Stegostoma tigrinum: one gene and its partner. The protein of the gene in region 2 interacts with the protein of the main gene of each other region in a biochemical or structural test. Links are inferred from orthologs where the notes say so. Each region holds a gene or a part of one and is shown on either strand. Other genes may lie near its edges.

Region 1 (7,163 bases), on a different chromosome or scaffold from region 2:
AGAAATAAGATTTCAATTGTCACTCCTGATTCTAAATTTCATTGTTGTTACTGCCACTTCTACACTGATAGGTCATCAGTATCACAGTTATAAAGACTAAGCTGACCATACTGTTCAGCAAGGGAAACTGCCTATTAACCACTGATGAATTAAGACTGGATTCTTGATTCAACATTTTCAATCTTACTCAACTTCCAAATCATACTAAAATCTTGCTGACAATTATGCTTAAAAGGACAGCAGTGTTTCCTCCAGAAACTGTAATTCAGAAATTTAAAAATACAACAGCATTGTACATGACAGGTTGGAGCATACATGGTACAGAACTGGAGGATGCTTTCATTTCAAGTAATGATGATGAGAAGTAAAATAAGTTTGTTAAAATTTAAATCAACTTCCTTGTGCAAGATGGTGACGGAGTAGGATGCTCCAGCAGGAGCTTGTCCACTCTGCCTGTTCTTCTTTTCTTACTCCAAGCTTTTCTGCTCTTTATTCCCCTCTTCAACTCTTATCCTCCAGCAATGAACCCTGGCCTCCCACCCTGGCGCAGCAACCTGTCAGCATGGTATTTTGCTGGCATAATGCGGAGCCGGTGTTCAATGTGGACTGGAAGCTAGGTGCCAGCATGGTTTGCTGTACTGAACTTTTATTTCTGTATGTGTAAATCTTGTAACTAAAGGAATCGTGCCAAGGTTCTTTTGTACCTAAGCTGGCACTGTCATAGGTAACGTATAGTCAATGAGTATGGTGAAAAGTTTATACGTGACAAAAAAAGGCTATTCTATTCTGTTCATTTAATCATGCAGGTAATGTAACTGGTGAACATTTGGCTCAGTTTGTCTTGGTGAAAGTTTCCCAACTTTTTTTTAGATCAACCTGTTCAGCGATATTATACACACTTCAGGGGAAGTGGGACTTGAACCTGGGCTCCCTGAGAGAGCTTTTCCAACATTTAAGTAGCATCATATAGATAAGGAAAAAGATATAATAGTAATTGCCTTATTTGAGTAATTTCTTTCAATTTCCCACCTAGACTATCTGGTTCCTTTGTTCTACAAAAGCTACAGACTAACTTGTACTATTTCCAGCTGTGTGATATACAACACAAAAATGGAGACACAAGGGCAGTCAGAATGTGTAATGATATTTGCATTTAGCATAAAGGGAACAGAACTTAATTCTTCCTTGTAACTGAGGCCTCAGGCTTGGAAAACACCTTTAGAAATAATTTACAAAGTTGTATGATATGCATAAGGTGAATAATGCTTGCAATGCTGAGTTTTTCTTGTTTTCCCTGTATTAGCTATTGAAAAGGCAATTTCAGTTCACATTTAAATCTCAAATATTCTTGAAAAACAAATGCTGATTTTGAAATTAAAAAGTAAATGCAGAACATATTAATATATTCTGCAAAGTGAAAACTCTGATTTCTGTTCTGAATTTGGATCTTGGTTTTTTTGAACAAATAATAACCAACTGCCACATTAAATCTAGTTTCAGATACAGATCAAAGGCCTGACATAACTGAAAAAAAAGTTCTAATTTTTTTTAAAATTAACATTAAAATCAAAGGTTCAGGGCATTCCCAAAAGCTTGGTCGCAGCATGAAAACTAAGAAGTTTGCTGAAAAGTTTGCGAAGGTGATGAAAAGTGACTGAAGTTTTTTAAAAATCCACACAAGGACAAATTTTTTATCCTTTCAGTAACTCAATCCCTGCCTTGAACTGATTCTTGTCAAAATGCCAAGAAGGATGCATGGCAGATAATGCATCAGCACAGAGAAGAAAGAAAATCTCAAGCACAGATAAAAGAAATATACTGCACAAAGATCACACAATCAAAATATGCTGATCCACACAGGGCATTTCAGTCATGTATAAAAGTACCTGTGGCATCCATCTACAACAGATTAATAAACAGGACAGATGAAACTGATTCAGGGCAAAAGCTCTTGGCAAGCTAACTTCAGAAGATATCTTCTTTATACCAAAGCAAATATTAACGATTCTTCTATAGAACGGCAAAAAGCAGTTACTTCAGATATTTTCTGAACTAGTATTTTGACAAACCAAAGTACTTAAATATCAAACACTTCCTATATGGCATAATAATTTATACTGAAACTTCCTTTTTCAATGCAAGTATTCGTACAACTTTAATTTCAGCGTTTCTCTTTTTTTGCAAAGAGGCTACGGTCAAAATTCTTATTTTAATACGGGAAAAAACGTGGCACATTTGAGACCTTCCTCAGTTCACCCAGTGATGATCCATGAAATGGAAATCGAGGAGCCGGGAAGATGGAGGAGCTAGTTTCAAAAGATTTACACAAGACTCAGATAAAAATAAATCACTTCCACAAACTCTTAATCAACTATGACAACACAGAAAAATAAAACGTAAGCATTGGTCCAAGATTCTTAAAGATTCGTGAACCCAACAGCGTCTGGGGTGTACGCTCAGAAAGGTTATTAAAACATCTTCCCCTCGGTGGAAACTGGAGTGAGGAACGTTATTCCATCACCGGACGAGGCTGCGAAGGAAAGAAAGATCAGTCGCATCCTCTCGATTAAATTCCATTTATAAAAAGAGAAATCTTTCGCAGCGGATCACACGGCGCTGCAGTTTAAGTCAACCCCGTCCCTCAGAAGAAAGACTCGCCGAGTCGAGTTTACAGCTCAGAATGGAGGCTCCCACAACAAAAACTTGAGCAAACTTTCCCGGTCGTTAATGTACGTTACTGTCGGGGTCCGAACGGACCGGCTCCACTTTCTCCCCGTTTTCCCGGTGACGCCATGTTGTGCTAAAAGTACTTCTAAGGGGAGGTGTGGGAATAAAGGCAATAACTTCCCCTCCTTTAAAAGTGCATCTGCTCCATACTGCTGCAAAGTGTACGAACAACGAAGAGGAATTAAACAATTAAGAATAACTTGTGGTACTGTCTTACCTGAACGCCAACCAAATAGCCTCCCTCTCCTTCACGCTCCATCGGCAGCACTTCCAGCAACCGCAACACAGTCAAAGCTCCGGCGTCAGGCAGACTGCGACTGCTCACCGCGCTATGGATTAACTCGCCGACCAGCCGCACTACTTTCCCAACTACTTCCAACAAGAGCGAAGCTGTTCAACTCTTAAACGCACTAGGCAGCTTTCATTCAAACAACGCATTGTTTTCTTCCTCTAGTCTTATTCATGTTTGTTTTAAGTTTATTAAGTAATCATTTATACCGGCTCCTTATTTTACTTTTTTGAGTATCGCGATTTCATTTGATCTATTTTCATTTAATTTTCTCTTCATTTCTCGAAGAATTGAATCTTCATTGTATATACAAATATTATCAGAAGACTCGTACTGAAGGTCGCTGGACCCGAAACGTTAACTCGGCTTTCTCTTGACAGCAATTTGTGCTTGTTTTTGATTTCCAGCATCCGCAGTTCTTTCGAGTTTTTTTTAATCATTACTAGAGTCCCTTCCATTCTGAACTTTAAAAGCAGATCTGTTCTAATTCACGTTAAGATCCTGTAACTTATAAGTATGAAAAGCATTATTAAAGCAAATCAGTCCCAGTTTGAACCAGTGATGTAAGCATTTCTACAGACTCCAATGAAAATGATTCCCCGAGTTATCTTGCATTAAAAAACCTCGAAACAAATTTGATTTGTAATGCAATTGTTGTTTCGTCAGTAATTTATCTACAATTTCATTTAACTTATTTGCATTTTTAAAGCTGAAGAAATATGTTGCGTCTCACCGTTGAAATCCTCATGCAGTTCTTAGGAATAAAAGCCAAAAAAAATCAGGATTGTAAATAACAAAAGAATGTTTGGTAAAGATTAAAAGAGAAGCATGGAAAAGAAAGAATTTACATATCTGTGGCATTGGTTTACAGCCTCAGAACAAACGTGCTATACAATGGATTGCTTTTGATCTGCACCTTAAGCAGCTAAATACAGTCGCACATAGTAAAATTCCATGGTGAACAATTACAATCAGATGAATACTTATTCGGGATAGAATTAATATTAACAAAAAAGGTGGATTGATTAACAAGGGTCAGCATGGATTTTGAAAGGGGAAATAATCTTCATTCTGGAGTTTTTTTGAAGAAGTAGCAGAAAGGTTCTATAGTGGTAATACCATTGATGATCGTAGTTATACAGCGAGGAAACAGACCCTTCAGTCCAACCCAAACACTAAACTGGTCCCGCCTGCCTGTTCCTGGCCCATTTCCCTCCAAACCCTTTCTATTCATGTATCTATCCTCATGTCTTTTAAGTGCTTTAATTGTACTCGCATCCACTACTTCCTCGGGACATTCATTCTGCACACGAACCACCCTCTGTGTAAAAACTTTGCCTCGTCTTTTTCCAAAACTCTCTCCTCTCACCGTAAAAATATGTCCCCAGGCTTGAAATACCCCATCCTAGGGAAAAGATAACTACCATTTACTTTAGAAATAGTAAGAACTGCCAGTGCTGGAGTCAGAGATAACACAGCGTGGAGCTGGAGGAGCACAGCAAGCCAGGCACTATCACAGGAAGAGGAAAGCTGACGTTTCCGGTCAGCACCCTTCTTCTCAAATGGAGAAAGAGGAAGGGAGCTGAAATAAACAGAGGGAGGAGGGGTGAGGCTGGGAGAGGTAGGCGGAATGGTGATTGGTGAGTGCAGGTAGGCAGTGGTGGGGATAGGTCAGTGAGGTGGGAGAGACGATTGGACAGGTTGTGTCAGGTCAAGGAGGCAGGGTTGAGAGGGAGGGAGGTGACAGATGAGTTTCAATGTTAAGAAGTATGATGTATTTTAGCAGGAAGAAGATCTAAAAGAGGGGGGATCATGTCTACATGGTGTGTAGGAGCAGAAGATCCTGGGTGTACATGCGTGCAGATTATTGAAGGTGGCAAGAAAGCAGTTAATAAAGCATGAAGTATTCTCAGCTTTATTAACAGAGGCATAAAGTAGAAGAGCCAGGAGGTGAGGTTGGACTTGTATAAGACTCTTCTTAGATCTCAGTTGGAATATTGTGTACAGTTCTGAGAGACATGCTATAACAAGAATGTGAACTCATTGGAGAGAGTGTAGAAGTGGCCTACAAAGAAATATAGAAAATAGGAGCAGGAGTAGGCCAATTGGCCCTGCGAGCCAGCTTTGCCATTCATTCTGATCATGGCTGATCGTCCAACTCAATAAACTGTTCCTGCTTTAACCCCACATCTTTTAGCCCCAAGTACTATATTTTCTTGAAATCATACAATGTTTTCCCTCGACTGCTTTCTGTGCTAGCAAATTCCATAGTCTCACCACTCTTTCTGTGAAGAAATTTATCCTCATCTCAGTCCTAAATGGTTTATCCTGTATCCTTAGAATGTGACACTGGTTCTGGACTCCCCAGCCATCAAAATCATCTTTGCTGCAACCACCTTGTCTAGTCTTGTTAGAATTTTTAAAGTTTCTGTGGATCACCCCTCATTTTTCTGAACACTAGCGAGTATAATCCTAACCTATTCAACCTTTCTTCATGCATCAGTCCCAGCATCTCAAGAACCAGTCAAGTAAAACTTGGCTGCACTCACTAGTAAAAACATCTTTCATCAGATAGGGGAACAAAAACTGCACATAATATTCCAGTGTGGTCTCGCTAAGGCCCTGTATAATTGCAGCAAGACAACCTTGGTCCTACACATGAACTCCTTTCACTATGAAGCACAGCATACCATTTGCTGTCTTTACTGGCTGCCGTGTCCACATCCTTAACTCAGCAACTATTGTACGATTGATTGATTGATTGATTGTCATTGGTACGAAAATACAATAGAAAGCTTTGTTTTCAAGTGGTACAGGCAGATCATAGTAAACAAAGGATGCACAGATCAAAAAGACTTAGACAGAGGCATGCAGGTTACATTGCACAGAGCGTGCACTAGGTGAGATCAACATTAGCAAGATCAACATTATTTGTGGCTAGACAGTCCATTCACCAGTCTGAAAATGGTGGGGAAGAGGCTGTTCCTGAACCTGCTCGTGCGTGAATTTAGGCTTCAGTATCTTCTGCCTGACTGAAGAGTTCATGGAAATCATTACTGAGGTGCAATGGGTCTTTGATGATGTTAGCAGCCTTTCCGCTGCTGCGAGCCATGTAAATAGAGTCCATGGATGGAAGGTTGGCTTTTGTGATGGTCTGGGCTGTGCACAGCACCTTCTGTAGTTTCTTACGGCCCTGGGTAGAACAGTTGCCATACCAGCCCTTCATGCACCCGGACAGTAAGCTTTCAATGTTGCATCTGTAGAAGTTGGTGAGGGAGCATATGGACATGCCAAATTTCCTGAACTGCCTGAGGCAGACAAGGCATTGTTGTGCCTTCTTGACTGTTGCATCTATGTAGCAAGTACAGGACAGGGCGTTGGCTATCGTAACTCCAAGGAACTTAATGCTCTTCACCCTCTCATCTTTAGTTTCATTGATGTATATGGGGTGTGTTCTCCATTCTTCCTGAAATCAATGATCAGTTCTTTAGTTTAGCCAACATTGAGAGACTGATTTTTTTTCATTGCATCGCGTCATCAAGCTTTCTATCTCCTTTCTGTAGTTTGTCTCATTGTTTTCGTGTTTTCGATACCCATCCCACTACGGTGATGTTGTCAGCGAACTTATAGATGGCATTCATTTGGAATTTAGCAACACAGTCATAGGTAAAAAGGGAGTACAGTAGGGGTCTGACGATGCATCCTTGGAGGGCTCCAGTGTTGAGTGTTATTGCGGAGGTGGTGCAGTTTCCTATCTTCACTGATTGTGGGCTGTGAGTCAGAAAGCTGAGGATCCAGTTGCAGAGGGCAGAGCTGATATCAATGTCATGGAGCTTTGTGATCAGTCTGGAGGGGATAGTGGCATTGAAGGTGGAGCTGTAGTCAATGAGTAGCAGTCTGAGTTGGGTGTCTTTGATGTCCAAATGTTCTGGGGATGAGTGCAGGGCTAGGGATATGGCATCATCTGTGGACCAGTTATGTCAGTAGGCAAATTGTGGTGGATCAAGGCAGGCTGGGAGACTGGAGTTAATGTGGGCCATGACCAGCCTTTCGAAGCACTTCATGATCATTGATGTCAAAGCCACCAGGCAGTAGTCATTAAAGCACATTGCATGCACTTTCTTAGGTACGGAGATGATGGCGGTCT
Region 2 (8,072 bases):
TACTCCAGAAGAGGCCTTGCCAACTTCCTGTACAACCTCAACAATGACTTCCCAACTCCTATACTCAGAGGTCTGAACCAATGAAGGCAAGCTCGCTAAACATCTTAATGACCCTGTCTACATGTGACGCAAATTTCAAAGAATTATATAACTGAACCCCAAGGTCTCTTTGTTTTACAACACTACTCAGGGTCCTACCATTAACTGTAGAAGTTCTGCCCTTATTTGCTTAATCAAAATGCAACATCTCACATTTATCCAAAATACATTTCATCTGCCACTCCTCAACCCAATGGTTCAACTGATCAAGATCTCTTTATAATCTGAGATAACCTCCTTCACTGTTGACTATACCACCAATTTTGGTGTCAACTGCAAATTTACTAATCATTTCTCAAATTCTCATTCAAATCATTTATATAAACATACTTCAACCAAAATTATGCATGCATTTTCAGGCATTTATCACTTTACTTCTCATGTCTGTAATTCTTTTCAACAGTACATAGTTCAGTCATTCTTGTTTGAGCATGGATTCTAGCCCCACTCAAAAAGATCTAAGGACATATTCTCATGCTGGATTAGTATTACCACTATCTTTTGGCTCAGGAGTTAACTCAAGATGTCATGTGCCTTTACTCCAATCTGAACAGCCTAGCTCTGCAGGCATCCCAACCACCATTTATTCTTGAACCAACACCACTGATAACAGTAACTGAGTGTGCAATTCTGAAAAATGTTGGAAATCTGAAATTAAAAACAAAAACAAAATTCCATTAAGCCTCAGAATGGCAAGCAGCATCTGTAGACTAAGAAACAGGGTTAATATTTCAGACAGATGCTAATTCATTAGAAATGGTGTAAGGTCATCAATCTGAAACCTTAACTCTTGTTTCTGGCCTGATGAATATTTACAGCATTGTTTTTGCTATTACACTTCCCAACACAACAACATTGATGTTATTTCTAAAATGAAGCATTTTTATGTCTTTACAACATTTCAAGATTCCATAGAATGTGAAGTTTTTTTTGGAGGTGCAATTATGTTGTTAGTGCAGCACAATCCCACAAACAGAAGATTAAAGAGCAGACTATATGCTTTTTGAGTGGTCATTGAGTCAGACCGTTGGCAAAAAATACATACTCCCTGCTCTTCAAAATGATATCTAGGGATCTTTTAAAACAACCCAACTGTCATGCAAGACCTTAGATTTAATATCTCTTCCTACAGCCAGCAGCTCTTGCTATCACGACTCCTCTACTGTACTGAATGATAGGCAAAAATAAGCAATGGACTTTTAATCCACAACCTTCTTAGTAAGGGGTGAGTACATCATTTCTGAGCCAAGCAGACAGGCAAAACGTCAGCTAATGAAAATGTTAAGATGTCCAAGTATAATGTTCACAATATGCCTTTTCTAAAAAATACATTTTAGATATCATTTCCTATTTTGAATAAACCTGTTCTTAATGTAAAATGCCACAATTTGAAGGGTGGCTGTTTTCTCATAAACTTTCCAGAAACTAAGCTCCAGTTCTAAATAACGTAATCATCTTTTCATTGTGAAGTCCATGGAGATAAAATAAAAATATAAATATAGTGCAGAATAAGCACAAGGCAACAAAACTAAACTTTTGAACCGTTGCCAAGTTGGCTGTTGCACTTCTTTGGACGGGTGGGAACATAAATACAATTGGATTAATAAAATGCAGCAACTCGTAAGTCTTCTTGATCTTACATATTTTCATATTACAGACATGCCCGTATGCAAATCAGAGAGGAGTTGGTAGAAGCAGAAAGATTGTTTCGAATCCACACGCCCCCCCCCCCACGTCATAGGAATAACCTCAACAACCAAGAGTTTACTTTGCCAGGCCTCACACGTATTACAAGCACCGAAACCTCCAAACAGAAACAGGAATTTCCTGGTTATAAAATCATCCGAAGACACAACCCTTCTCCCCAAGCCCACATACAGGGAATAAGAAAAAAATTATTCAAAAGCAAAATCTGCCAGTCAGGAAAAAACTCATTCAAGTTCAACCACTCTTTTGTAAAGAAAATGTGTGCAAATGACATGACTTATTTGGCCACTCACGATTGGGGGTGGGGACAAAGAGAAGGAAACTACTAGAAAAAAAACAAAACAATCTTTCCATTCACAAATCATTTAAAAAGAGAAAAAGAAAGGATCCATTTAAAGCTCCAGGTCTTCATAACGCACAGTGTATATTACATATGCGTGTGCAATTCACAGCTTCTTACCTGTTAGACGTAACTTTACTGGCCCATTCCTCCTGGCTCCTTGATTAGACATGTTCCCGAGCGTTTATGTTTTATTTGTATGTTTATATTTTTTAAATGAGGTTTAATTCCGGCTGCTGCTGTTGCTAATGGTGATGGTATCTCCCGTTCGCCAGCGGCCGCCGCCGCTTTTCCCCCCTTTCCCCGAGCGAACAATGATGGCCTCCTCCAGCCCGGTGGCCCGGATGTGCATAGCCCACACTCACCAACGGACGACCAAAAAAAACTCGATCAAAATAAAAAAAACAAACATTATTTACCTCAGGAAATTTTTAAAAAGAAAACAACTCCCCTCCTTCAATACGCCGGAAAAAAAATCAATTTTTCACTTTTCTTCTAGATTTTTCTGTCTCTCTTCCCTTACTCAGACCGTCTCTGTGCCTCGATCAGTGCAACCAGACTCCCCCCTTTCTCTGTGTCTCGCTTCCCATCTTCGAATACAGCTCAGGATTGATCTTCTGTAGAGGTATATTGTTGTTATTTTGTCGAAGGCTCGAATCCAGTCGATTCGTTGTTGCTCTGATTTCTTCCTTATTTTTGAGAGTATTTCCACCCACAGAAAATCCACGCTCAAAACGACGAGAGGAGAGGTTGAGGGTTATTTTCCAGCAGCAAAAAGTTGTCAGTGATACTTTTTTTCTTTTTTTAAGGCTGAAGTCGCTGCTTTCTTCTCTTGTTTCGCTTCTTTGGTCGAAGTCCTCTCTCTACAGGGCTTCTCAACTGAGAGCCAGAACACAGTTCTTGCTGACATCACCCTGGTGCTCCCTCCCTCTTGACAGTCTGCAGCTCCTCCTGCTCGGGTCTCGGGAACAAGGCAGTCGAGAAATAGCACCAAGGAAACTTCACTGTTACTAAAAATGCGACTAAATGTGGTCGAGCTATGCCTGTAAATTTGTCAGAGCTTGACTTCGGATTATTGAGTTTACGAAATGCATGGTCTATCAATATGAAATCCACGATTGAAATGAAATGAGCCAGTCATTGAATGATACAGCATAGAAAAAGCCCATTCGTCCCATCGCTCTCGTGCTGCCTCTTTTGTACAGTTACCTAATTAATCACATTCTCCTGTTCTTTCCCCATAACTGTTAACCCCACAGTCCCCAACCTCCGCAAGCCAATTCTCTTTTGAATGTTACTACTGAACCTACCTTTCAGGCAGTGCACTGCAACGTCGCTGTTACCTCTTGTCAATTCAAGTTATTTTTGACAGTCACCTTAATTCTGTGTCCTCGAGCTGCCGATCATTCTGCAACTGGAAAGAATTTTTCCTATTTACTGTCTCACAACTATGATTTGGACTGAATATTTTGTCGGTTTTTTCACAGTGAAAGTCAGTAAAAACTTCGCAAGATTAGTAGAAATTCAAGGGCACGTTGAAGCAATCATCACTTTAAAAAATGTTCTCGCGAAACTCATGGGACTAAAAGGTGACAAGTGCTCTGGAGCTAATAGCTTGCATGAAAGGGTCTTAAAAGAATTGGCTGCAGAAATAGGGTTTGCATTGATTGTACATTTTCAGAATTCTGTAGATTATGGAAAGGCCCCAGTGAATTGCAAAATCACAAATAGAATGTCCATGTTCAAGAAAGGATGGATGTGTAAAGCTGGTGTGTGTATATATAGGCCATTTAGCCTAACATCTGTCTTTGAGAAGATGCTGGAATCTGATATCAAGCAAGTTTTAGCAGGGGTTTTTGAAAATCATGGTACGATCAAGCTGAGTCAACTGTGTCTATGAAGGAAAAGTCATGTCTAACAATTTTGTTAGAGTTCCTTGAGGATGTAATAAGTAGGGTGGATAGAGGGGTACCAAGAGATGTAGTGTATTTGGATTTTGGACAAATATTGATATGTCAGCATAAGGCTGAATGGATGAATTGCAAAATGTGGGCTTTTAAACTGCCAGGTTATGTTTAACTTGGAAAAGTGCAATCTTAAGCCTATGCATACAGTAGCTGCTAAGCATACATATACACCTCAAGGAAAGGCATTAACAGAAATGGTGGAAGAAAAAGATTTGATCATCATAGTGTATAAAACACAATTGACAGTAAGTCTAAGCATATTATTTTGTACCTGTAAATGACCTTAGTGTGGCTTCAGTTAGAATTTCGTGCCTAGTTTTGATTGCCTCACAGATAGGTAATATTGAGATATGGAAAAGATGCAGAGGAGGAATGCAAGATTAATTCACAATTGGAAACATCTTAGTTATCAGGATAGATTAAAAGATCTGAGACCATGCACTTCAGAGAAGGATAGGTGTGGGTGATCTGATCAAGTTTTAGGTGATTATGATGATGATGCGGGGAAAGTTGTGCTTGAGTAGACAATTTGTTGCAATTTAGTATGTAATCAAGGACCAAAGAACCAAATTTTAAATTGTAGAGGACCAGATCTGTGTTAAATGTCAAGATGTCGGTCTTCTTCTCAGAAAATGATGGACTGTGCATACAGTGGCAATTAATTGAATACTTCATGACAATTAGAACTGTTTCCAGCTAGGACAGATGTCACCTTTGAAGAAAGGTAGGTATTGCAGGAAATTGGAGGATTGAATGACATTTTCATGTTATTGACCCGACCAAACCACCTCAAAATATATTAAGAAGATGCCAATACCCTTACTTGCAACTCTAGCAGCAGGAATAGAACCCCAGCTTTTAGCAATAACAGAAAGAAATAAAAACTTCTGCATCCAACCTCAAGATCCCAGCAACTGCAGAAATCTAAAACTAAAAATCCTAGTTCTGTGGGAGCATGACCCCATTTATTCAGGCTGCTTCTATTGCTCCAAACTTTAAAAAAAACAGGGCCTCACAAGCTGTTTACTTTATTGGCTTTGAGCAGACCACTTATTACCTCTGTCTCAACCTATCTTCATAAAAAGTAACAGGGCAAAATATGCCTGTTAAAGCCATAGCATCATCACACTTGACCAGTTGTGATTGCCAAAGAGGGTCAGAAAGGAATTCCTAAACTTTTCTTCCTCCAACGTTGGTTTAGATTTTTAATGATTCCCTGGAGATTGAATGGTTTCAGGTAGAGTAAGAATGTATATATGGTAATGTAAATTTTTACCATCTAGTAGGACAAGGGCAGTAGATGCATTAGCAGAAACACCCATCTGCAAGATCCCCTCCAAGCCATACACCACCCTGGCTTGAAACTATATTGCCATTCCTTCATCGTCGCTAGGTCGAAATCCTGGAACCTCCTTCCTCACAACACTGTTGGTGTATTCATCCCATGGACTGCAGCATTTTAAGAAGGCAGCTCATGAGTGCTTTCTTAAGCAATTTAGGAATGGTGGATATTGGCCCAGCCAGTAACACCCACAGCTCATGAAAGAATGAAAACAAATGCACAAGATATTATAAATATGCAGGACAAGTCAGATGAACCAGAGTATCTTTCCTTTTCTGTTTTGTCATGTGTTCTTATAAACAGCAGGGAGAAAAAGTAAAATCTTTCTTGGTGGTGCTCAGTTAAGAGATAACTATTATTTTGATACCAGGAGAAAGTAATCTTTACGCTTATTGGTTCTATGGATCTTCTTTATCCATGTGAGCTCACACACTTAGTTTACAAGGCCTTAGTTTGACAATTTGTCTGAAAGACACCAGCCCCAGCATTTCTACACTGATGTTTCAGTCTAAATTTTGTGCTCAGATTCTGGAGTGCCATATTAATTCATGATCTTTAACCTAGAGATATGAGTGCTACCCGAATCAAGCTGCATGTATGATTCATAGTACCACACCAATTAATTTTGTTAATTAATACTTGCTGTAGCACCCCAAGTTATAGTCAGAATGTAATTTTTAAACTGAATCAGTTTTATATTTTTAAATGTCTTTATAGAAAGTGGCAAACACTATGCATAACATTTTTTTAATTCAAAACAACCAGTTATATAGCATATAAAATATATACTACAAATAAATAATAATTTCCATATGCCGAGATACATGGATATTAAAGAATGAGGGTGAGTGTGGCAGTATGATCATTTCGTACTGGAATAATTCTCTCCTTCCCTTTAGAGGGTGGGTGGAATACAAAAACGAACAAAAATGTCTTATGCATAGAAAATGATGTAATGATTGATACAATTAGTTTTTTTAACATTTTAAACTATGCATGACAGCAGAATAATTTTAAATTGTAAAGAAGTTTAAGCGCGTTTTTCCAGTAAAGTATCACCATGACTAATCAAAAAAGCGAGACAGATTTTTTCCCTGATGGGGATGTGCAAAGGCCACAAATCTGGTCTACATCCAGATAATAAAATAGATTTACTGGGGTTAATATTTTTTCTGGAATTTTTGTTTTACTGTCATTATATATTTTTTCCATTTTGTATTTTTTCTCAGGATATAGAATCCTTTGTCTTTGTAAATAGAAGCAGAGTGTACAAGAACAAGGAAGTTATGCGAAATTCAATGTAGACTAATTTTTTAAATAGTTCATACAGCAGTGAGTCATAACACACTGTTTATTGAAACATAAGAATGCTGTTCAAAGCAACAAAACTTGTTTACTAAAATTTGTATTTAAAGCAATTATCAGCATTTTGAGGAAATTGATTTGAATCACTTGCTGAAGTATTGAAGGAAGAGCTGAGAGTTATTTTCACATCACAACATACAAACAGTCATCTATCCTCATCAGCTGGTAACATCATCTAATCACATAATTTAGGAGGAAAATTCAAAACATTTCAGTAGCACTTTCAGAAACTAATTGTCCATGAATATTGAGGAACACCACTGATTTCTTTTGAAGTCAAATTTAAAGTTCTAACTAACTTGTTTCTATTTGTTCTAGCTGGCTCAAGCAAACAACTTTCAAACAGCTCATGCACTGTATTCACATCACATTAACAATACTGATGGATAAATATGAAACTAACAATATGAATAATCAAGTAGCATTTAAGAAGATTATTAAATCGTCAGATTTTGTGAATCCTATTTAAAGATAGTGTTAACTTCTAGTGCATATTTTGTAAATCAAGCCCCTTTTAAAACCCTCTATTGCTGACCATACTTTTTGTCTTCTGCAACGCACATAGATATCTGGTGATAATAAAATGTGAGGCTGGATGAACACAGCAGGCCAAGCAGCATCTCAGGAGTGCTCCTGAGATGCTGCTTGGCCTGCTGTGTTCATCCAGCCTCACATTTTATTATCTTGGAATTCTCCAGCATCTGCAGTTCCCATTATCTTAGATATCTGGTGATGTCTGTGTCAGAAAACCTATCTATTGTCATCAGCACTGAATAACTTTACTTTGAAATCTCGCTTCTTGTTCAACTAAACAATGCATGTGACAGTGCTACACAAATTTCTCATTGATCTTTATAAGGCTGTTTAGAAGCAAAAGTCATTCTGTTTTAATTATTGCTCATTTCCTTTTCTGAATAAGAATTATTCTAGGAGGAATGCTTGAAATGGACGAATAATCCATTAGCGCCTCCTGCTGATATTAAAGCAGCCTACATTTTGGCTGACATTAGCATGCTGAATATAAAAGCTGCATTCTGAAATGTACATTTTGCTGCTTTTTCAGGGTTCGCTTTATAGCTGTGACCAAGGCCAGAATGAAAAGCTATTACTGGCTTTCTGTTATTGCTAAGTTTACAGTCAAAAGAACCATAACAAATGTTGATCAAGGCTGCTTCTGTAACTATAACCACTTCTATTAGGGGAAACACAATATTCATTCAGTATTGAAAATAACAAATGCTGGTGATCTCAG

The links. The genes of interacting proteins can lie anywhere in the genome.
Region 1: the proteins of smurf2 (region 2) and smad1 form a complex in vitro, tested with the Homo sapiens proteins (2 studies listed by BioGRID and IntAct, with this or other methods). The link is inferred for Stegostoma tigrinum from reciprocal best matches to the Homo sapiens genes SMURF2 and SMAD1.

What each region holds. Positions count from the first base shown.
Region 1 is NC_081354.1:46,819,952-46,827,114, forward strand, and holds the start of smad1 (mothers against decapentaplegic homolog 1), read right to left. Parts: upstream 3,046-7,163; 5' UTR 2,945-3,045; intron 1-2,944. UniProt on the Homo sapiens protein: Transcriptional modulator that plays a role in various cellular processes, including embryonic development, cell differentiation, and tissue homeostasis.
Region 2 is NC_081375.1:10,562,513-10,570,584, reverse strand, and holds the start of smurf2 (E3 ubiquitin-protein ligase SMURF2), read right to left. Parts: upstream 3,102-8,072; 5' UTR 2,319-3,101; coding exon 2,267-2,318; intron 1-2,266. UniProt on the Homo sapiens protein: E3 ubiquitin-protein ligase which accepts ubiquitin from an E2 ubiquitin-conjugating enzyme in the form of a thioester and then directly transfers the ubiquitin to targeted substrates.